Linked DNA regions of Pelodiscus sinensis. The protein of the gene in region 3 purifies or fractionates together with the protein of the main gene of each other region. This does not show direct contact. Links are inferred from orthologs where the notes say so. Each region holds a gene or a part of one and is shown on either strand. Other genes may lie near its edges.

Evidence for each region. The genes of interacting proteins can lie anywhere in the genome.
Region 1: the proteins of EXOC2 (region 3) and EXOC3 purify together in Homo sapiens (affinity purification with mass spectrometry; 6 studies listed by BioGRID and IntAct, counting the BioPlex papers as one, with this or other methods). This does not show direct contact. The link is inferred for Pelodiscus sinensis from reciprocal best matches to the Homo sapiens genes EXOC2 and EXOC3.
Region 2: the proteins of EXOC2 (region 3) and EXOC6 purify together in Homo sapiens (affinity purification with mass spectrometry; 5 studies listed by BioGRID and IntAct, counting the BioPlex papers as one, with this or other methods). This does not show direct contact. The link is inferred for Pelodiscus sinensis from reciprocal best matches to the Homo sapiens genes EXOC2 and EXOC6.

Annotation. Positions count from the first base shown.
Region 1 is NC_134712.1:144,901,294-144,908,850, reverse strand, and holds the start of EXOC3 (exocyst complex component 3), read right to left. Parts: upstream 3,083-7,557; 5' UTR 2,962-3,082; intron 2,371-2,961; exon of another isoform or gene 2,348-2,370; intron 1-2,347. UniProt on the Homo sapiens protein: Component of the exocyst complex involved in the docking of exocytic vesicles with fusion sites on the plasma membrane.
Region 2 is NC_134718.1:42,542,571-42,549,538, reverse strand, and holds the start of EXOC6 (exocyst complex component 6), read left to right. Parts: upstream 1-3,886; 5' UTR 3,887-3,959; coding exon 3,960-4,081; intron 4,082-6,968. UniProt on the Homo sapiens protein: Component of the exocyst complex involved in the docking of exocytic vesicles with fusion sites on the plasma membrane.
Region 3 is NC_134712.1:115,925,863-115,932,807, reverse strand, and holds the start of EXOC2 (exocyst complex component 2), read left to right. Parts: upstream 1-3,866; 5' UTR 3,867-4,023; intron 4,024-6,945. UniProt on the Homo sapiens protein: Component of the exocyst complex involved in the docking of exocytic vesicles with fusion sites on the plasma membrane.

The DNA of each region.
Region 1 (7,557 bases), about 29 Mb from region 3:
TTTAATCTTAAATGTGAGTTTCTTGACATTCTAATTTTTTAATAGAATTACAATATCCCTGTATTGTATTTTACCCTAAATTACTGATGTAGAATCATAGGATGGAAGGGACCTCAAGATGTCATCTAGTCTAGTCCCCTGCACTCATGGGAGGATTAAGTACTACCTAGCAGTCTTAACTCCATCCTATCAGTTTTTCTCTGTATTATTATTAGTATCTTAGATCCTCTTGTTTCTTATCCACTTCCCCTCCCCATATTCTAAGACATATCTATTCCAGGAAAAACCTCAGTATATCCTTCTGATATTAAAGGGAGGAAACCACATTTGCTCAATATACTTCTCCAACCCTTTAAGCATTTTGTTATTTCAGAACATTTTAAGCAGATATGTAGTACTGATTTGAAGGATATATGTCAAGTTTAACATTTTTGAAGGTGTTTATTTAAACACAGAAAAATAAAACCAGACAAGTATATACTCTCATACCGTCACTAAAAACGTCTGCATTGCATCTGAGAGTGAATCTCCCAGCCCAGTTCCAGCTGGAGCTGCAACATCAAAGAAATGGCTACACAGCTATTTTTAGCACTACAGCACCACCCCTATTATCATAAGTCTCTGGACCTGGCCTGAGAAATTCGCTCTCAGATGCAGTTTAGTGATTCCCTATAATGCCTAATAAATTCTCAAATCATCCAAAGACCAACACCTAATGTATAAATTGCATGACAATACACCATCGAATTTGTTTCTGCATTATTAATAAAAGCAAATTATTTCAGTGGCAAATTCATAAAGCTGGATCTTTGGCAATGGTGGCTGTATAGACCAATGTGGGAGGTTTGGAGCTATCTTCTGTGAGGATCATTAACACTTTCCATTGTGAAAGGAGGGTACACCAACCCTTTGAAAAGGCACTGGTGAGACTCCTCTTCAAGGAAGCATTTCTTGACTTTAACAGTCTTGTCAACTACCACTCTGTCTCTAAACCCCTATGTTAAACAGATTATATTAATAAATGGGGCTTTCCAGACTCATCTCAATCTGATCATCAGTCCCTACAACCTTAATGTTAAGCATGGATTTAGTATAGGATGTTTTCATTGATTGTTGACAATTTCCTCTTGGGACAGACAACAATCAAGTATATACGATCGATGTGCTGGCTTTATAAACAAATTATATAATTTGACAGCATTTGAAAAATTCTTTTATTAGTTGCAAATAAGGCCTATTATGTGCTAAGGAAGAAGGCCTAAGCTATTAATTTTCTAAGGAGCTTAAACGTTAAGTTAAAAAATAAGGTTTTCAGATTTACAGCTGTCAGGGTAATCTTCTCAATATGAAAGCATTAACCCATGATGTGTTATCTTTCTGAGTTTGTAGACAAACAAGCTCTGGTGCCTTTGTTGCTCTTCATGATTTTCCCAATCATCTACAGAGTGAAATTAACAAGACTGATACTACATAATACTATAGGTGCAGCAAACTAACAAAAACCATGTCAATTTCACTTAGCTGTTGTTTGGAAATCATGAGAAATCTTGGAAGCAGACACTGGCACAACTACTCCATCATCCTCTGCACCCTAGTGAGGTGAGAGCTTGGACTATGAAAATTAACACTGAAATTCTCTCTCTGATTGGACTTGAACAACAGTAGGGAATTTCCAGCCACTGACATCTTTCTGTCCAAAACGACATCTCAGCAAGCCCCTTTAAAACCACATGGAGCACCTCCAGCTCCAGAGTCAAGCCTCTTGAATAAAAGACTGATGCAGCTGCCAGAATACCTGTTTTTTTCCCTGCTAAACGGGACAAGCCGTTTAAAAGTATTTATATTTAAAATAAAACATAGAACTAAAAAAGATACAATCAATATTATGTTGCTTGGATACAGTATCACACTACCTTTCTGTTTTCTGAATTTTTATACCATAAACATATTAGGGAAGCATTACTTCTTCCTATATGTTTGCTCAGCACCTACTACCAGAGAGAGGCTTGATAGGGACTGAGGGCCTCAGGGACTGTGGGAAACATAACACAGATTTCTTGATATTCTGTTTAAAAATTTTACCGGTGTAGTGCTCAAAATGGAGCTAATACAGCTATCTAAATTAATAAGTTGTAAATACTTGTTTAAAACAAGTTTGTCCAAACTGAATTATGAGGCTGACATTTTTCAAGGGGCAGAGAAAAGAGGCGTTGGAGATCACAAAACTGGAAAATATGAAGGAGCATTGGGATTCTGTAATGAGAGTTAAGAAAAAAAGAGAAGAAAGAAAAGTAAAAAGACTGGGTAGGGTCACCCTTCCCTTCTGTGCTTCAAAAGAGGCTCCTACCTAATGCACAGGTGCTTCTGGACAGCTGCCACATCAGGGAAGTAAGTAAAAGGGCAAAATTTAAAACAGCGCCCCACATTGAACAGGTTTGATATTTCGATTCTGTAGGCCGTGAGCAATGGGGAGTCCTTCAAAGGTTCTCTGGCTTCTCTTCTGCACTGGCCTCCGCGAATCCTCAAATTGACACCAGACCCTCCGGTCCCCCCGCCCCATCAGTAATAACGCAAGGACCCCGGAAGGTAACTCGACAGGATCCCACCCAGGCCCAGCCCATCTGGCCCCTCGCCCTGTGCCCGCACCCCAGCAGCACAAAGAGGCCCCGAGATGAGCTAGGACCGGCACAGCCCCCCCCCCCCCCAGGGTTACGGTCACGCTCGCAGGGACGGGAACGGCTGCTCCGCGCAGTAGCTGCCAGAGCGTCGTGGCAAGGGGGCAGAAACCAACCCCCCCCCATCCCACCTGCCCCTGCCAACCTGCCCCCGCCCCAACCTCTCCTCGGCCAGGGCTTCCCGCAGTGCTCGGCCCCGCGCTCCCAGAGCCCGGTCCTGCCCGCAGCCGGCGCCCCGCGGGGACCAGGCGGAGCGACACCGGCCTCGAAGGCCGCCACTTCGTACCTGCGCTGCCAGCTCCCAGGAAGTCACTGACAGGCGCGCAATGCGCAGGCGCCGCCCTGGACGCCGGAATCGCAGAGCGACCGCCCGGCACCTCAGGCTCACTGCGCAAGCGCGAAACCAATTCGCTCTCCCTCCCTCCCCGCTTCTCATACTGCGCATGCGTATTATCCTCTGCCAGTCCTTTCCTTCCCAATTCCCCATTGCGCCTGCGCTGATAGTCTTCAATGCTGTGTCCGAGCGAGGGGCGTGGCGTGGCGTTCGCCCTTCCCTACCCCCTGGTGGCGGGGCGGGATTCGAAAGCGTGTCCTTGGGAGCTGCTTTTCCCTGGGCTGTCAGCCTCTGTGCGCGCAGCTCCCGGGCAAGACACGTTTGCCAGGACTTAAAAATCTTTAGGGATGGAGACTCCACTAGGGAACCCATTCCAGTGCTTCACCACCCTCCCAGTGAAATAGTTTTTCCTAATAGCCAACCTAGACCTCCCCCACTGTAATCTGAGACCATTGCTCCTTGTTCTGCCATCCCTCACTTCTAGGAACAGCCTCTCTCCATCCTCTTTGGAACCCCCCTTCAGGAAGTTGAGGGCTGCTACCAAATCCCCCCTCACTCTGCAGACTAAATAAGCCCAAATGGTTGAGCCTTTCCTCATAGGTTATGTGCTCCAGCCCCTTAATCATTTTGGTTACCCTCCGCTGGACCTTCTCCAATGCTTTCTATAGTGGGGGGCCCAAAACTGGATGCCATACTCCAGGGCTGTGTCTAGACTGGCAAGTTTTTCCACAAAAGCAGCTGCTTTTGCGGAAAAACTTGCTAGCTGTCTACACTGGCCGCTTGAATTTCCACAAGAACACTGACTTCCTACTGTCTGAAATCAGTGCTTCTTGCGGAAATGCTATGCTGCTCCTGTTCAGGCAAAAGTCCCTTTTGTGCAAAGCCTTTGCGCAAAAGGGCCAGTGTAGACAGCTCAGATTTGTTTTGCACAAAAAAGCCCCGATCGTGAAAATGGCGATCGGGGTTTTTTTGCGCAAAAGCGCGTCTAGATTGGTACAGAATCTTTCTGCTCTGAAATGTGATTTGTCCTTTTCATATGTGTTCATTTTTTTTTAATTGTATCCTTTGGTATATATATGGCTGTGACTATTTTCTTCCACTATTTGATCTGAGGAAGTGGGTCTGGCCCACGAAAGCTCATCATCTAATAAACCATCTTGTTAGTCTTTAAAGTGCTACATAGTCCTGTATTTTGTTTCCACAAAAAGTGCTTTTGCGGAAAAGCGTCCGTGCCAATCTAGACACTCTTTTCCGCAAATGCTTTTAATGGAAAACTTTTCCGTTAAAAGCATTTGCGGAATATCATGCCAGTCTAGACGTAGCCCAGGTGTGGCCCTACCAGTGCTGAATAAAGGGGAATGATAACTTCTCTAGATCTGCTGGAAATGCTCCTCCTAATGCACCCTAATATGCCATTAGCCTTCTGGCCTACCAGGGCACACTGTTGACTCATATCCAGCTTCTCACCCACCGTAATCCCCAGGTCCTTTTCTGCTGAACTCCAGAAAACTGGAAATGTTCAGAAATCATGAGATTATGTAAAAATGGGTTTTCATTTGCTTTTTGAGCCTTTAGGGTGCATGGGGATCATACTTTGAAAATTTCTCCACAACCATAAGGGCTAGACACTCATTTTTCCTTTGAGAATAAAGGCTGAAAACATCGCATCTTTGTTTGACTGTACGAGCTGGGGCTTTAAGGCAAACAATAATTATTATGAGACTCATGACAAAATAATGAGTGTTGGCAACACTGCAGACGGTTTCTGCCCCCTTCCACACCAGACCCAGTTCCACCAGACTCCTTAGCCTAGTCTACTAGTCTACTCCTTTCCCTCCCTCTAGTTCAACTTTTGTCCCTTCTTTGAATCAGGCAGCTCCCTCCTCCTCATTCCCTACTTGCCAGCTGATCAGTGGCAGATTTAGAGTTAGTGAGGCCCAGTGCTCAGCTTCCTTTTTGCCCCCCTCCTTCTATATTATAAGTAATAAGAAGTAAATGAAAATAAAGTGAGGCGCCTTGATTGTTTTTGTAGTCTAACTTTTTTTTCCACAGACCATTTGAAATTTGCTGAAGGTCTCGGGTGGACCACTTAATGATCTTTCCAAATATTGTTTGTACCATTCGCTAATTACTGCAAAGTGCTTTGGATAAGAGTGCTTTATTTAAAAAAAAAAAATCTCTGTGGCTGCAGAGGACACCTTCAGGTGCCCCAGTGGCCCTGCATTGGCTGGCCTGAAGAAGTGGGCAGAGACCCACATGTGCTTTACCTAAAGGTGAGGGAGGCATAGTGCTATCAGTCATCTGAGTGCTGCCCCTCTCCCCGTCCTGGGCTCTCTATCCCCTGGCCACTCTCCCCCTTGCCTGCGGGCAGCCACCACTCACCAGGTGGCATCCAGCAGCACAAACACAGGCTGGAAGGCGTTAGAGATCACTGGGTAGATGCACAGCTGGCGGCCAAAGAGAAGCAGCGCTTTCCCGCTTCAAAGCACCGCTTTTCTCTGGCCGGCTGTGTGGCTCTTCTGAAGCCTTCCAGATCATGTTTGCACTGCTCACTACCTTCTGACAGCTCACCTGAGGCTGCAGTCTGCAGGTGGGCCTCCCTGCTCTCTTGCTCTCCCCCCCACCCAGCCCTTTCTGCAGAGGGACTGGCCCCCACTTCCCTGCAGAGTGGCCACCCCCTGTGTGGGGGGGTGTTGGATCCGGTACTGGACTGCCCAGCCCAGGGGGGCTCTGTGTCATTGGGAGGGGGCATGCCAGGGTACGGTATGTTTCATTTAAATCTACCTCTGCAGCAGATGAGTCATTGAGAAAACAAGGAGAAGCACTGGACATTCCCTGCTTTTGATGGCTGGCTCCACCCAGCCCAGAGCTACCATTACAGGAAAAATGTCTTTGCCATTGTAGACCTAAGGCTAGAGCAGGGATGGGCAAAATACAGCCTGTACAGATCCAGCCTGCCAAATATTTGAATGCAGCCTGATGCTACCCTGTCTTCTGTGGTCCCATACACTGCTCAAAGCATCCGGTTGCTGGGGCAAGCATGTGTATCTCTGTGTGGTGCATGCTGCTTGCGGAGAGGATTCTGTGTGCTGCCCCCACCTCCAGCACAATCCTCGTAGCGCCCATTAGCCAGAAATCAGCCAATGAAAGCTGCAGGCTCAGTGCTTGCAGGTACATGCAGCACATGGAGACCTGCTAGCCCCTTCTCCCAAGGGGCGCACTGCCCAGAGACACACACTGACCCCAGCAGCCAGCCACTTTGAATAGTGTGTGGGACCGCAGAAGGAAGGGAGCCTATCCAAGCATCCTGATGGGCTGCCGCCTGGCTCTGTCTCCAGTAAACACTTTCGATTCCTGGCCAGAGCCTGTATCTGATACCCTACTCCCTTCCACACTCCCAACATCTTGCCCCAGGTAAAAACCTCCTACTGCATCCAAGCTCCTTCACAAATACTGTGTTGTGCTTATTAGAAGCACACAGGATCTTTTTCAGGGGGAAGACAATATGCCACATATATTGACAATACAACAGGAAAAGTAGCATATGCATCCACACACACAGGTCTAGCAGATGATACTAGTTACTAGTCTGTGGTAACTCAAATCAATCTAGTGGCCAGTTAGATTGAACATGAGTGAGGAGCTGGGTTCTGTTGGTCATGATCCGAAGTGCCAAGGCAGGACAGAACCCAAAGTTCCATGGCAAGAGCACCCCATTTTTATACTTGTCAGTTCCCTGGATCTCTTGCGCATCTCTTTGCACATCTCTTGCACAAAAGCACATGCCAGGGTAGACGCTCTCTTGTGGAAGAGTTTTTGCACAAGAACTCTTCTGCAAAAGAGTTCTTGTGCAAGAAGCTGCCAGTGTAGACGTAGCCAAGCTCTTGTGTTTTCCCCAAAATGAAATCACACCACACAAGGACTCACAAACTAAAGCAACCTCCAGCCACTAAGTTCAATAATCCTTATGTTTTAGGTGAGGGTTTATGGAGAACTTATCCTTACTTATGTTAATTGAAGGGTGAGTTCACAGTCATGAAGAGGTCTGTGATTCATCCAGTCATTAATCTCAGTTTAACAGTACAAGGCAGAAGAAGAGAAATGTTTTTGGGGGATGTCCTAAATTAGAACCCCTTGGTCAGATGACCCCAAATTTGATGGCCTTGTGCTTCCATTAAGGATATCAAATTTAAAAGCAAATTTGAGTATCTGTTTGGATTTTAGAGCACTTAAAGAGTTGAGTTTAAAGTGCATAAAATGTCAGGGATGGAAACTCTTTAGCTATTTTTCTGTACTTTTGTGCATGGGCAGTGTAAAAATGTACATTTTCTTAAATACTGTTCTCAGTTTGGGTCCCCCAAAGAATTACTGTGTGCCATGCACTAGCTTGGGTAAAACTCAATATACTTGGACCATTTTCTCTTGCATCACATCAATAATACGATGTATATGAGTACAGAGGGGTGGACTAGACAATCTCTTGAAGTCCCTTCCAGTCCTAAGATTCTAGCTGGGGGGGGGGGGGGGGGGGGAGAGATTTAGGAGGGA
Region 2 (6,968 bases), on a different chromosome or scaffold from region 3:
ATCTGTTCACATCCCTAAAGTGCCTATAGTCAGGATACCCCTTCCATGCACAGGAGTGGAGTGTTGAGTGTCCCTGGATTGGCAAATTCCCCTACCCAGAGATTGTTAGCTGCAGCTCATTGTATTGTGCAGAGAGTTCATGGTTTCAGGATGAGGCTGGATATGAACTAGGAATGGGTTGTTCTGGCACCTCATAGCCATAATGCCTAGAGGGCATTCAAACATGGCCATTACTGCTGGCTGTGGCTGGCAGTCTTTCTCTTCCAAGGCATAATTATGGATGAAGGACTTAACTAGCATTCACTGCTCCCATTTTCTCAGGTGATTTTTGCTTCTCTCCACAGCAGTCGAAGTCCAGCTCTGTATTTCTGAGAGACTTTTGGAGTTACATAGACTTTATATAAAAATGGCTTTACACTAGCCATATCTGGGACACTAGTAGCTTTAAAAGTTTGGGCTGCCCCTTTAAATGCTCAAATGTGTGCCTGAGTGACAGAAAGCACACTGCTATATATGCACTCCATAACTGCTTGTGCCTACACCTAAGCCTGCACTTGCAGGCATTTGTACATTTGTATGAGTGCCTGCTTTGCACATATGCAGCCAGTGGCGCTGGAACTACGTGTGCTGGGGGTGCTGCTGCACATCCTCACTTGAATTAGTAATAACTCCCACCAAATACATGGTTTCCATGGTTTCCATCATCAGCACTTCCACTTGCCTACAGGAGGGTGCTTTACAACAAAGCTCAGTTAAAATGTTTAATGTTTCCCCCAAGTCTTGACCTCCAGCTTGATGGCACTTGCACACTGTGGGGTGGGGAACAGTGCATTCTGGGGGATGGGTGCAGGTATGGCAATTGTCACAACAAACAGGGAATATCAAGCATCACTGCTTGATGCCAAGGGATGGGGAGAGATGCTGGGGCAAATGGAAATGCTGGTTCCATTAGATCAGTGGTCACCAACCAGTAGATTGGGATCTGTGGGTAGATCCTAGAGCCTCTGCCAGGTGATCCTGACTTGTTTGGCAGGGAGGCTATGAAATGCCAGCATTTCAGCTGTCCCTACCCCCACTTCCCACTGCTGTCCTTCTCCCACCCTCTGCCTTGGAGCTGCCCCCTGAGAGCCTCCTGCACAGCAAGCAGGATGGGGGAGGCAGAGAAAGGGGAGCTGGTGTTAGGGTGTCCCTCCCTGCTCACCTTATACCTCATCTCCATAGAGTGAGGAGGGCGGACCCTTGGATAAGGCGTGGGGCAAGGCAGGGCCTGGGAAAAGAAGTGGGGAAGGAGATGTGGGCAAGAGTATTTGGGTTTGAGGTAGATTCTGGACGGACAAATTCAAAAAGGAATCTTATGCAGTCTTCAGTAACTTTTTAAAGCACTAGACCTGCCCTGCGTATATTGGGGAGGAAGGATGATACTTAGGGGCAGAGTTAATGGTAATTTCCAGGACTAGCAGAGACCACAGAGACAGCAATATCTGAATCCCATTCTCTGACTGTCAGGGTGGGATTAAGAAAGATGCAGGCTGTGGAGTAAGGGGTGGAAATGTCAATTCCTTTCCCAGAAGGGAAGCTACAACCAGTATTTGCCTGCCCTCCATCTCACAATGAGGCCTAGTACAGATTAGTCCTCTACAGCATTGGTTCCCGAACGGGGGGTGGGGGGCGGGTGCAAAGAAATTCTAAGGGGGTGCGTGAGGCTGAGAAATCTATGAATTGATTTTTTTATTAAAAGGGGAGTTGGAGGATGGTAAAGAAAAGGTGGGGAGGCATGAGGATTTCTCAAAAATTAAAAAGGGGGCGTGATTCCCGAAAAGTTTGGGAACTGCTGCTGTACAGGTACTGATGGGTCTTCTATGCCATTCTCTCCTCCTACCTTCCCCCCGCCATTAGAGTTAATTGAGTCCTCACTTAGGTGAGATAATATTGGTTCCTCCCTGGCCCATTCCTCCCTAATCTGTTTCCTATCACCTCTCCAGAGACTTGATCTATAAGTAGGCCCTTTAATTTCAGGTACTTAACACAGCCCAGATAGATATCTAACAAGCAAAAAATGGATTTGTACATTATGTGATAAGAATGTTACATATCCAGTGAATCCATTAATCAACAGTAGGTGCGCTTATCCTTCAAGAATAGACAATAACATAGATGTGAGTATAAGATGGATGCAGAGACCTTTATAAAAATTAACCACATTGATTTCTGGACACAGTCCTAAGTGGCTGGATCTAATGGAAGTTGGAGTCCTGTTGTTTCATTTATTATGTCTTGTGACCTTGAATCAGAAATGTACTGTAAGTAGGCAAAACCAGAACAGGTAGTTGTGACTAAGGGCACTAACTAATCATTTTAATAACTATTGTTAAGTATTAAATTAACTTCTAATGTCCTCAAATTATTTTAAAAAGTAAAACCTAATCTCCCTTCCTATTGTTCAAGATTAGAACTCTTAGTCAAGACAGCCTTTCATCTGGATTTGTGTGACATCCAGTGGCTGGATGGGTCAATCACAAGTGCATATTTACAATTAATGATCCAAAAGATGACTCCCAAACATTAGGTCAGGTGTGGAGAACTTTTTTTAGAAGCCACTGACCCACAATAAAATTAGTTGGGGGCTGCACACAAGTGACAAACAAACAAACAAACAAACAAACAAAAACCTAAACTCTTACTGATGTGGCTCCCGACTGAGGGGCGCAGGCTAATAGATTCTGTGTGCTGGAGGAAGAACATCGAGTCCCAGGGACTGGATCCAGGCAATCCAGAGCTGAATTCAGCACCCAGGCCTTAGGTTTCCCACTTTTGCACTAGGTGTTACACAACAGTGAACACCTCGAATGTTTCTTACAGAGCAGTTAATTTTTATTTAAAAAAATAAAGGCAATAGATAGAGAAGAAGCTTGTGCAAGACACTGCTGTTTTTAGACAACTAGGCTTTTTATAAAGTGTCATTAACTGCAGCAAAGCACAGGATTTGGATCAAAATCAAGTTTTTATTTAAGTCTCTGAGTGAGATACCAAAATTGGTAAGCTATAAAAAGACTGCCCTTTCCATGCAACACTGCCTGTTGGCATTAGGTTTGATTCTTGATGAATTTAGCACTTCATTCTCAAGTCTGACAAAAATGGATGAGATTGAGATTCATTTGAGGAAGTTGTACCAAATATTTTTCCATATTGTAGATTAATGGTCAGACTATGACTTTAAGTAAGTGGTGCTCTGAGTCTGGAGTCTCAATGCAGGATTGAGGCCTACATAATGTATTAGTGTGAATTTAATTTATAGAACCAAGGGACACCATGAACTTAAAAGCCACATTTCTATTTGAACAGTTTATCTAACACTGTAAAAATGACACCTAAAATTGCTGGAGCTGAAAGAGAAAAAAAAGCATAAACATTTCTCTGCTTTTTAGTGGACTTTGTGCTTTTCACAGCCCTTTTCCCTAAGGAGTTTCTGTTTGTGTGGGTCTCATGCAAAGCAACAGGGACAAGACAAACATTTGGCAAATAGGAAAATAGTTTTCAAACTGACAATAATTGACAAGATGAACTCAAAGGTAGGTGTCCTGTATGAATTCACGTGTAAATTATAATTTGAAGATAATTAACTTACAAGATGAAAGGGGACACCAAAAATCTGAAATACTTTTCACCAGTGAACTGTTTTAAATATGTTTATAAAGTGTTATATACTTTTCACAAAATCTCCCTTCTGTTTTCAAGAAAAGACATTAATTAAGTGGGAACAGAGTAATAGGCACATGTTACCAGAAGATAGGAAAACAGCAGCTGTGCAGCATGCTTGGACACAAAGTCCTCAGGAATCACAAGGTCAGCCCAGGGTCTAGTTTTTCACTGCTCTTTTGCTGACTATGGAATCATTGTGGTAGTGATCGTAAGCAGAATAAAAGTCCTGCACTAAAGTTAGAACTGTTTCATGCTCTGCAATGGCTAGAAAAAGCAAATTAAACTTGTTGGAGCTTTATTCAGAAGAAAACAAAGATCAAATATATGAAAATGTCTTGGCTGAGATTGAGTCGTTTGAGCTGCCTCTTGGAACCAGTTTGAGGTAGGCATGGTTTATATAATATTTTATTGTACAAACTGTTTTTGTTGTATTTGTTGGCTGTTGTTTTCCCCACCCTCGGGTACTGGAGACCTAATTCTGCACACACTGAAAGCCATAGGAAAACGTCCTTTGAATTCAATGGGAGTAGGATTTGACCTTAAAGGAACAAGCATAGACTCTACTCAGCCCCTTCTCACCAGAACAAAGAGTGACTTTACAGACTTACCCAGGGGTGGGCAATAAGTTTTGCCCACTGGCCGCTTCAAAAAAATTTTAAGTGGTCACGGGCCGGCACGGGGCCTAATTCGGAAGGGGCGGGGCCAGAATGCTTCTGGGCTTCCCCACCCCCAGACCATAACTGGTTTGGGGGTGGTAGAGCCCATTTGCCCCTCCTTCCCACTAGGCACCCATGCCCCTGGCAGGGTGGGAAGAGGCTTCACACACTTCCCTGCCTCCAGGGCCTGCAAGAAACCATCCTGCGAGCAGCGCATGCCAGTTTGAAGTGTTGCACACTCTTCGCAGGGCCAGGGCAGGTCGAAGGAAGCTTCAGGCAGCTCTCCCACCCCTACGCCCTGATTGGCCTGGGGGCGGGGAGAATGCACGAAGCCTCCTCTTCCCACCCTACCCCCTGCAAGGAACACGCGGCATTTCAAAGTGCCACACGCTGCTTGAGGGTGGGAGGAGATGTCATGTGCTCCCTCGCCCCCAAGTCCTGATTGGCCTGGGGGTGGGGGAGCGGCAGGGCTTCTGCGGGCTGGATCCAGCACGCAGAGGCCCTTTTGCCCACCTCTGGACTTACCAAGTGCTCCATGAAGAAATAAATTACTTTTATAAATGAAACCAAGAAACAATGGCTGTTTTTCCTTAATGAAATGATTTAATTAAAATGCTTGAAAAAAATAGATGGGTAACTTTTAATTCGGATATTTTAAGACAGACACTACCCTTGTTTATCATCAAAGTCCCCCCCATGCACTACTAAACTTTATTTAGTGAAATTCCCACATGCCTTTGAAAAATTTAGATATAATGCATTTACAGTTTACTGAATTTTTGTGGACATGAAACTTATATATTAAAGATTGTATGTTTAGCTTTACTGGTGTCTGCAGCAGTGTTAGGATAGCTTGTCTGGTATTGCAGATGTCAGTTTGCAGTAAGGATTATACTAAAGAAAGAAACCATATATCTTTATTTAGAAATTTAATTCTTCCTGAAAATTGAATTTATTACCCTATTCTGTAAATAAAATTGGTGATGGAAAAAAGAACGTGGGAAGAATTTCACTATATTTCAATTATTTCTACAGGGAAATAATATAGCTAAGGTAGCTAAAACCTGTAAACGGTTTCCTCTTGAGTTTACGGTTTCCAGCCTTGTGAGTAGGGGGTGTATTTTTTTTACTACTTCCCTAACTGACATAGCTATGCAGCAAAACTTTCTACTATAGACCAGGGTTAACAGTATATTTCTAACTATTGACTGCACTAGTTTGTTGGACTCAGGAGTAAGTAAGTAGGCCAATTTGCAATATCTCTCTTCTGTATCACTGCCTGATCTGTACTTTGCAGGATTTTCTTTACAGTTAGAGAAACTCTCTGTAGCTGACAATGGATGCCACCAGTAGGTTCAGCTGAACATGATTTAGCTGCAACTGTAGGTGACACCCAAACTGCATTCAGTACTGTTTCATTAACTGTGGCCTAGTGCTTGATGATGGCTTAATTACTGTTTGTGCATTAGCTGTAATCATGTTCAGCACCATTTCACTTTCTGGGCTGTTCAGCTGCACCGGATGCTTTTAACTGTTAGCAAAGGTTAGCTTTTCTAGTCTATGAAACACCATAAATTCACTTTTAAGGATGAAATTTTCTAAAGTTGGCCTCCATTTGTGCACAGATGATTTTGCATTGTAAAAATATCCAGGTCTGGCCCATGAATGTTGGCAGTTTTTGGAACTCAAACCCAAATGTATCATAAAAAGAGAAAACAAGTATAAAAGCTCCTACTTCTCTGCAATAATAAGGAGCCTGATTAATGTTCCCTCTAATTTTTTCCATTCATTTGCAGAATAAATGTTCTTATGTGCACCAAGACATGTACAGATGTGCACCATCAGTAGAAACACATGCTTCTGGCTCTGGGTGCTTTGCTAATCAACTGGGCAGCATTTGAATCTCTCCAGGTGGCCACACATGTGCTTATAGGAAACACTAACCCTGATGTATCTGAGTCCAAAAGCAGTGGAAAACATGTATCTAGTACCCAGAGTCAACGGAATCTTGCATATTTTTATACCCAATCTGCCAAATTCTATAGGTTAAATAGAGAAAAAATTAAGCAGTTCCCATGAAAATAAATAACAATACTGAAAAGAAATCTATACTTAAGAAACTGATCTTGCAGTACCAAAAAACACCATCTTCTAACACCTGCATCTTGTTAGATTCAGTTTGTAATATTTTTATCCCACATACAAAATTTCTACTAGCTAAAGTGAAAAATACTACGAGCTGCTCTAATTCCACTGCAAAATGCATCACTGATCAACGGCACCACAGAGACATATATCCAGTAGCTGGAACTTGCTGGAGCCTACAATTTTGGCTGAAAACCCCCAACCTGTACAGGTATTGTCAATATAGACAGTGCATGTTTTTATTTCTGCTTGAACAGAAAAATTCAAGTACCAATAGATCCCGCTGCAAAAGCAACACAAAACTACAGAGATTATGCCTAGATCTTGTTGGCTCTAAGAAATCTTGGCTGCAGGTCTCTAAAGGTACGTCTGCACTGCATGGCTATTTCGGGATACTGAGGTATCCCGAAATAGCTACCCTGCGTCTACGCAAGTCGCCCATTATTTCAAAATATTTTTCAAAATAAT
Region 3 (6,945 bases):
ATAGTCCTTTGTTTTACAAGCCTCAAAAAACAATTACTATACAATTTAAGCCTTAAATACTACAAATTTGTAAAGCAATTAATACAATACAAAACAATACAAAAGCAATTAATAGGAGATTTATTATAATGCAATAATTAAGCCTTGTTCACTTACACTTCATTCACATGCCACCTGCAGGAGGTTCATTGTCCCTTTTACTGCCACACTTAGGGACGCTGTGCACTGCCACAGCTAGTGTGAATGGTCTTTTACTTTTAGTTACAATAAGAAGGACTTGTGGGTCAATCCTGCTTACTACCTCCCATCAATTCTTCTTGCTAAGCCCATTTTATAGCAAAGCAAGACTTGGTCATTCTAATAATATCTACTAATTGATTACATATTGTGTAAGATACCTATTGTGCCTTTATTAGGGGTACATCCTACTACTCAAGATGTTGCAAAAAGTATGTGCTTGGTTAACAGTTCTATGACTGTATCTGCTTTTTCTTATTAGGAATAAAATGTATCAGTACTAGATTAATCCAGTTCTCTTGGCATTATCACACTGAACTATGCTGGAAATGCATGATTGTGCAAAAACATTCCTGCTTCAAAGCCCCAGCCTTACCTGCATGCTACGTGCACCAGACTTGAGACAGGCTTGGGTTTTGCTTTGTTAGAGATCTTTACTTTGAGTAAAGCAGACGCTGTCTTGGTCAAGACAGGGCTGTTTAGGCTCCCCTACACTATACCATACAAAACTCCTGAACCTATGCACTTTTTCACTTCTTTAGGATATATGGAAAATGCCTGAAGATTTTTTTCTTTGTACTTTTAACGGTAAAAATTCAGATCCTGTCTAAATGTGAGTGGACAACTAATTCAACGTTGACCTCATAAAAGCTAAGAGACAGAAAGCTGAAGTATTAAAAAGGGGAAGGATTTTTAGCCAGATTGTTTAAAGCTGTTCTTTTCCTCTTTTAACAGCTATATAATTTAAGTGGGTTACAGTTGGGCTAAAAGGAAGGTTTTGTTAAATATTCAGTAACCTTGGTCCTTCTTTTAAGATGTGAAAATATTCATTCACTAGAGACCGCTCCCAGTAGAAGCCCAGCATTGACTCTTATGAGGTCTTGCCTGCACATACTGGTTTGATTAAAGATACATCATAAATCTACTTACTTAAACTGGTACAAATCTCTGTGTGGACACTTAAATTCATTTTAATCTGGTTCATATTAATTTAACTTATACAGTCAGATTTACTATATAAACCAGGTTTTAAAATCAATTTAAGGGCTTGTCTACATGAGAGAGTTGCAGTGGTTTAACTATTGGTGTGATTTTTTTAAACCAATTTAATTAAATGATTACAGATACTTATATTTTGTTTAGATAAAAATTAATTAAAAGTTTAAACTAAACCACATGATGCCACTCTTAAACCAAACTAAGAGTGTCCACAGCAAAGTTTATACCAGTTTAATGACAGTGGTATAAAAACTGATTTAAATTAAGTTATTGTAACTTTCCCATGTTGACATCGCACTTCCCTACGGAGGCTTGCAATAGCCCATCAGCAATAGTTCATCGGCATGACCTGTCAGCATTTTCATCAACATTCCCACACACCCAGGAGGCAGAGCATGCAGCAAATTGTTGAAACATGGTACCAAATGCGGACGGAAGTGCCAGGGTTGTTGAGATGTGAAGTGATGCACTAAGGCCGTGTTTCTCAAACTGTGCGTCCTGACCTCCCTGGGGGGGGGGTCGTGAGCAACTTAGAGAGGGGTCACGGTATCACAAAGTTTGAGAACATCTGCACTAGGGGCCACTGGGATTAGGGATGTTAGTGGTTAATTGTTTAACCGATAAGCTATTGCTTATTGGTTAACAGTCCCAGTTAACCACAATAACACCCCCCCCCCTCATGCTCTGCATTTAAAACTTGGACTGGCAGGCTGGCTCAATCAGCCTATCAGTCTGAGTTGTAAATGAAGAGCAGGCAGGGGAGCTGTATCAGAGGCAGCAGTGCAGTGTGGTAGGGGCTCCCTGGGTCTGGGAGCGCACTTGGCTGCTGCCTCCATCCTCAGGAGCCATTGCATAATCCTGCAACTGATGTGGTTATGTGATCATTAAATTAAATAATATCTAACATCCGTAGCTGGGACAGGGCTCAGGGTGTCCTGTGCCTCCCAACACCTCTGAAGGGGAAGAGGTGCTCTGGGAGATAGCTGCCCAGAATGCAGTGTGCTGCAAGTGCCATGAGTGTTGCCAGGCTAATGAACTGGCAGCTAACACTGTGGCCACCCAACTGTGGTTTCATTGCTGCACTTTGCAAGCAGCGCTGCAGTTGCCAGCATTTTCCATCTGCCAGGGTAGCCATGGCCTCAAAGGGTGTGTCTAGACTACAGAGTTTTGTTGACAAAAGTGGACTTTTGTCGACGAAACTATACCTGCGTCTCCACTGCTGCTGAGTTCTGTCGACATAACGTCGACAGAACTCTGCAGTTTTGTCAACGGCTGTAAACCTCGTTCTACGAGGAATAACGTCTTTTGTCAACAGAGTTCTGTTGACAGAAGGTATTATTGCATCTACACCGTCATGTCGACAAAGCAGCTTGCTTTGTTGACAGAACTGGATGTAGTCAAGACACTCTTTGTCGACAGAAGCTTTGTCAACAGTATGGGTATGTCTACATTACATGGCTCCGTCAACAGAGCCATGTAGATTACCTATGTAGACATAGGAAAATGAAGCGGCAATTTAAATAATCATCGCTTCATTTAAATTAAAATTGCTGCCGCACTGTGCCAATCAGCTGTTTGTCGGCACAGCTCTGTAGTCTGGACACTCCACGGTCGACATCAAAAGCATTTGTCGACCTCCCCGGTAAACCTCATCCCGCCAGGCATTATTTAAATCGCCACTTCATTTTCCTATGTCTAGAAAGGTAATCTACATGGCTACATCCACATTGGCATGATCTTGTGCAAATACTCTTTAACGCAAGAGTTCTTGCATTAAAGTATTTGCGCAAGAGAGCGTCTACATTGGCATGTGCCTTTGTGCGAGAGATGGCTTTTGCGCAAGAGCATCCATGCCAGTGTAGACGCTCTCTTGCGCAAGAAAGCTCCGATGGCCATTTTAGCTATCGGGCTTTCTTGCGTAAGAAATTCATGCTGCCTGTCTACACTAGCCTCTTGTGCAAGAACAGTTGCGCAAGAGGGCTTATTCCTGAGCGGGAGCATCATAGTTCTTGCACAAGAAGCTCTGATTTCACACATTAGAACGTCAGTGTTCTTGCGCAAGAACTCCTGGCCAGTGTAGACAGGCAGCAAGTTTTTGCGCAAAAACAGCCACTTTGGCGCTAGATCACCCCAATGTGTAGACAGCTGTAGTGTAGACCTATCCTCTCTGTCCACAAAAACCTCTGTTGACAAAAGCCTGTAGTCTAGACCTACCCAAAGTCTTTCTACAACACTTTCCATTAGCCCCGCACCCTACGGGCTGAAGAACGGGACTAAGATGTTTACAAAGTCCAACCACCAGCAAAAACCACCCTCCTGGCTCGCTCAGGGCAGAAGCCCGACTGGAAGCAGAAAACGACTCGTTTGCAGGTTGCAGGCCCTGGGAGCGCTTGGCAGGAGCGGCAAGTCTGTCCCCGGGCGGGCTTCCTCCGCACCTCCTCGGTGCTTTCCTTTCTTTACGAGCTCAACCGGCTCCCTGCCCCGTGCGCGGCGCCAAACCCAGCAGCCCGCCGTGGCCTCGCGCTGCGGCTGAGGGCGAAGGGACCGAACGCGCAGGCACTGGGCGGCCCGGGCTGGAGGCAGCGAGGAAGGAGCTCAGGGGCGGGGCCGGGAGAAGGAAGGCGCGGCCCAAGCGGGAGGGGCGGGGCTGCCGCTCGATTGCTCCGGTTCCGCCTCCCGGGCGATCGATGCGTCCGGACTCCATTGCGGCGGCCTGGCTGTGCGGGAGGCGGAGGCGCTACCTGGAGCGACGCTGCCCAGTGCCGGTTTCAAACAGCGCAGCGGCCGGTGAGTGCTCCCCCCCCCTCCCATCCCGGACACACGCACGTTAGCGCGAGCCGGCTCCTAGTCACTGGCCTCGGGCCGCACCCCCGCCGCGCGCCTCCTGCCCCGGGGTCTCGCTGCCGCCGTTGCTAATAACGATCCGGATCGGGCCGTTGGGATCCGCCCGGTACGCTGCCCCCGCCGGGCGCTGGATGTGCGCGGCAGAGGCCAAGCGCTGCCCCCGCCCCCCAGCCGCACACTGCGGAGGCCCCGCTTGTCTCCGCGCTGGGCCCCGCCGAGCTGCCGCCAGCCACTTCCGTGCCGCGGGGCAGCGCCGGTGGCAGCGGCTCGGCGCCAGCACTGCCCGTGGGGCCGGTGCGGAGGGGCGGTGGATGCTTGAGCCCTGGCTTGGAAACACTGCGCGTGTCTCTGCTGCTGTGGCTGGCCCGTGCGAGCTGAACTGTGCTAGGCTGGCTCTGGACGAGGCGCTCAGTGTTGTAGTTGCTTGGGCTGAAGTCTGAGACCCTCCCAGCTTGCCAGGCCTTACAGCCCAAGCTGTCACGCTAAAGTCCTCTAGAGTGGACCAAATGTCCGTGCTGCAATAGAACAGCTCCTTGGCCTGAGCTCCAGGAGCCTCAGTCAGCTGGCAGGGGCCACCACAGAAGTCTAATTGCAGTGTAGACATACCCACTAAGTCCACAAGCCCCAGGTCTCTCAGATCTGAATTCATAAAGCACTGTACACATACCCATATAGTTGGTCACATAATCACCGATATTTTATGGACTTGGTCACTTAGTCATGTAGAAAGTACCTGCAGCTGAGGCTTCAACCATGCTGTCGTTTTGGGGTGCTTTAAACAGGATCCTGTTCATCTGCTTGTTATCAAATCTGGAAGACCCATATAAAAACATGTGTTTTTCATTTGAATGGAAGCTCTTATTTAAATTATGTCTGTGGCACTGCAGTTATATTCCTCAATGAGGGATAAAATCACTGATAATACAAAGACTTTACAATTTAAAGGCACCATAAATATAGTAAATGGGCCAGTAGTGGTGGCAGTTGCTCTTCATTATAAGGTACAGTAGAAAAGTAACATACTACTTCCAGACTTCATGCAGTGGCATGGGAGCCTGAAAACTTTGAGGGCCCTAGCTTTGAGTCTGCATCAGGGAGCTTGGATGCACTAATAAATTGTAGATCTTGCATGAGTTAGGCTCCCTGGCTAGCTGGATGCCTGGCCATCTGACGACTTATGCTGGGGGAGCTGGGCAGCTCAGCTGGTCCAAGAGTTTGGAAGCCTTGAGGCCCCTGGAGCAGGCTGCATCCAGGCCAGGACCTCCAGCAGCTCCTGATGCAATTCGTGTCAGTTTCATTGCTGTGCCCACCATTGAACAGCAGTGGTGAGAAACAATGTGTAATAGATAAAAATAGTGGTAGCCCTATATATTGAACAAGTGTGTTAATTAGATTAGGGTATAGAGAAATTAAATAGTGATTTGGTGAGCTTATATTCTACTAGTTAAGCAGGAATGTACTTTTTCTTTCTTTAGACGGTTGTGCCCACGAAAACTCATGAAACCATCTACAGTACATGTTTTGTTAGTCTTTAAGTGCTACTAGACTACTTGTAGTTTTTTCTTTCTTCATTACTAATCTTTATTAAAATCCTGTGAAGCTTATAATGTGGTGTCAATTTATGTAAAACAACCTGGATAATAATTTATCCTGAATCTCTGTTTCTGGCAAAAACAGGCATGTAATGCAAAAAGATTGCTACTGCTCAGAGCTACAGTCTCTGAAAGGCTAGCATGTATAAGTATTTTGGCAGTTTTCTTTAAATGTATCTTGTCACAGAATGAGTGACTTAACTTCTGTGCTGCTGCTTCCCTGGCTGTTATATAATAATGATAATGACTGCCTTGAAAAGCACGTTGAGATCTGTTGATAAAAAGTTCTGGGTAAAAGCTAGTTATTATTGTACCAGCCTTTATCCAGGTGCTTGCACTAAAATGTTGGTTTGATCCAATGAACTGGTTTATAGATGAGGAGGTTAGGAAGACTTTTTCTTGAGAATCCCTCTGCTCTTAGGGAAAGGTGAGTTTTTTCTTCCTATAGAAAAGGCTATAGTGCCCACCTTCGATGTAGTTAGTGGATCCCTAGCTATATCTGTTTGGTGGTCCAGAGCTTCAGGCCTTAGCTGACCCACCTCTAAATATACTAGTGGATATGGAAAGAAATCATGTTCATCCACCACTAGTCTGGCCTCTGATCCATCCACACGCTTCCTCTTCATTCTGACCTACTTACTTACTCATCACATACAGTGCACCTGTGGTTTATGGATAGCCTTCCATAGTGTAAACAAAATGGGGGAGAAGAAATGTCTCGTGAGGGTTCCCTGTACATGTGGGAGATGGTCTAGGCCAGAGATTTTAATATCATATGAAGTAAGTGTGATTAAAAGAAAAAAAACCAACCAAACAAACAAATCCTCATGGATAATAGTGCATGTGCATAGTGGTAACTTTTCACATTCCATCCTCCTAACATCAGTGTAGCCAAAGGCACTAGTCTGTGTTTACGTGTACAAAGTATCAGTTGCAAAAATAAAACAGATTTCAAATTAAAGTATAAAAGCAAACTGAAAATTAATCTGGTTGTTTACATTCCTATATCTCAAAACCAGCGGCAAGTCCCCCCACCCTAATTTGATGGAGGAAAACCCACCTGTCTTTTGGGTTCTCTTGCCAAAATTCAGTCTTGGGCACATTTTTTAATCCTAGATTACAAATTCCTGAAATTAGAGGTTTATAATGAAAAGGCTCAGTTTACCTTTAGAATCTTAACCACATCCTAGACTGCATGCATATTAGTTATATGCTTAAAACAAACAGACCCTCCGTACCACTTTATTTGAAATGCATATCGGTTTTTTTAGGT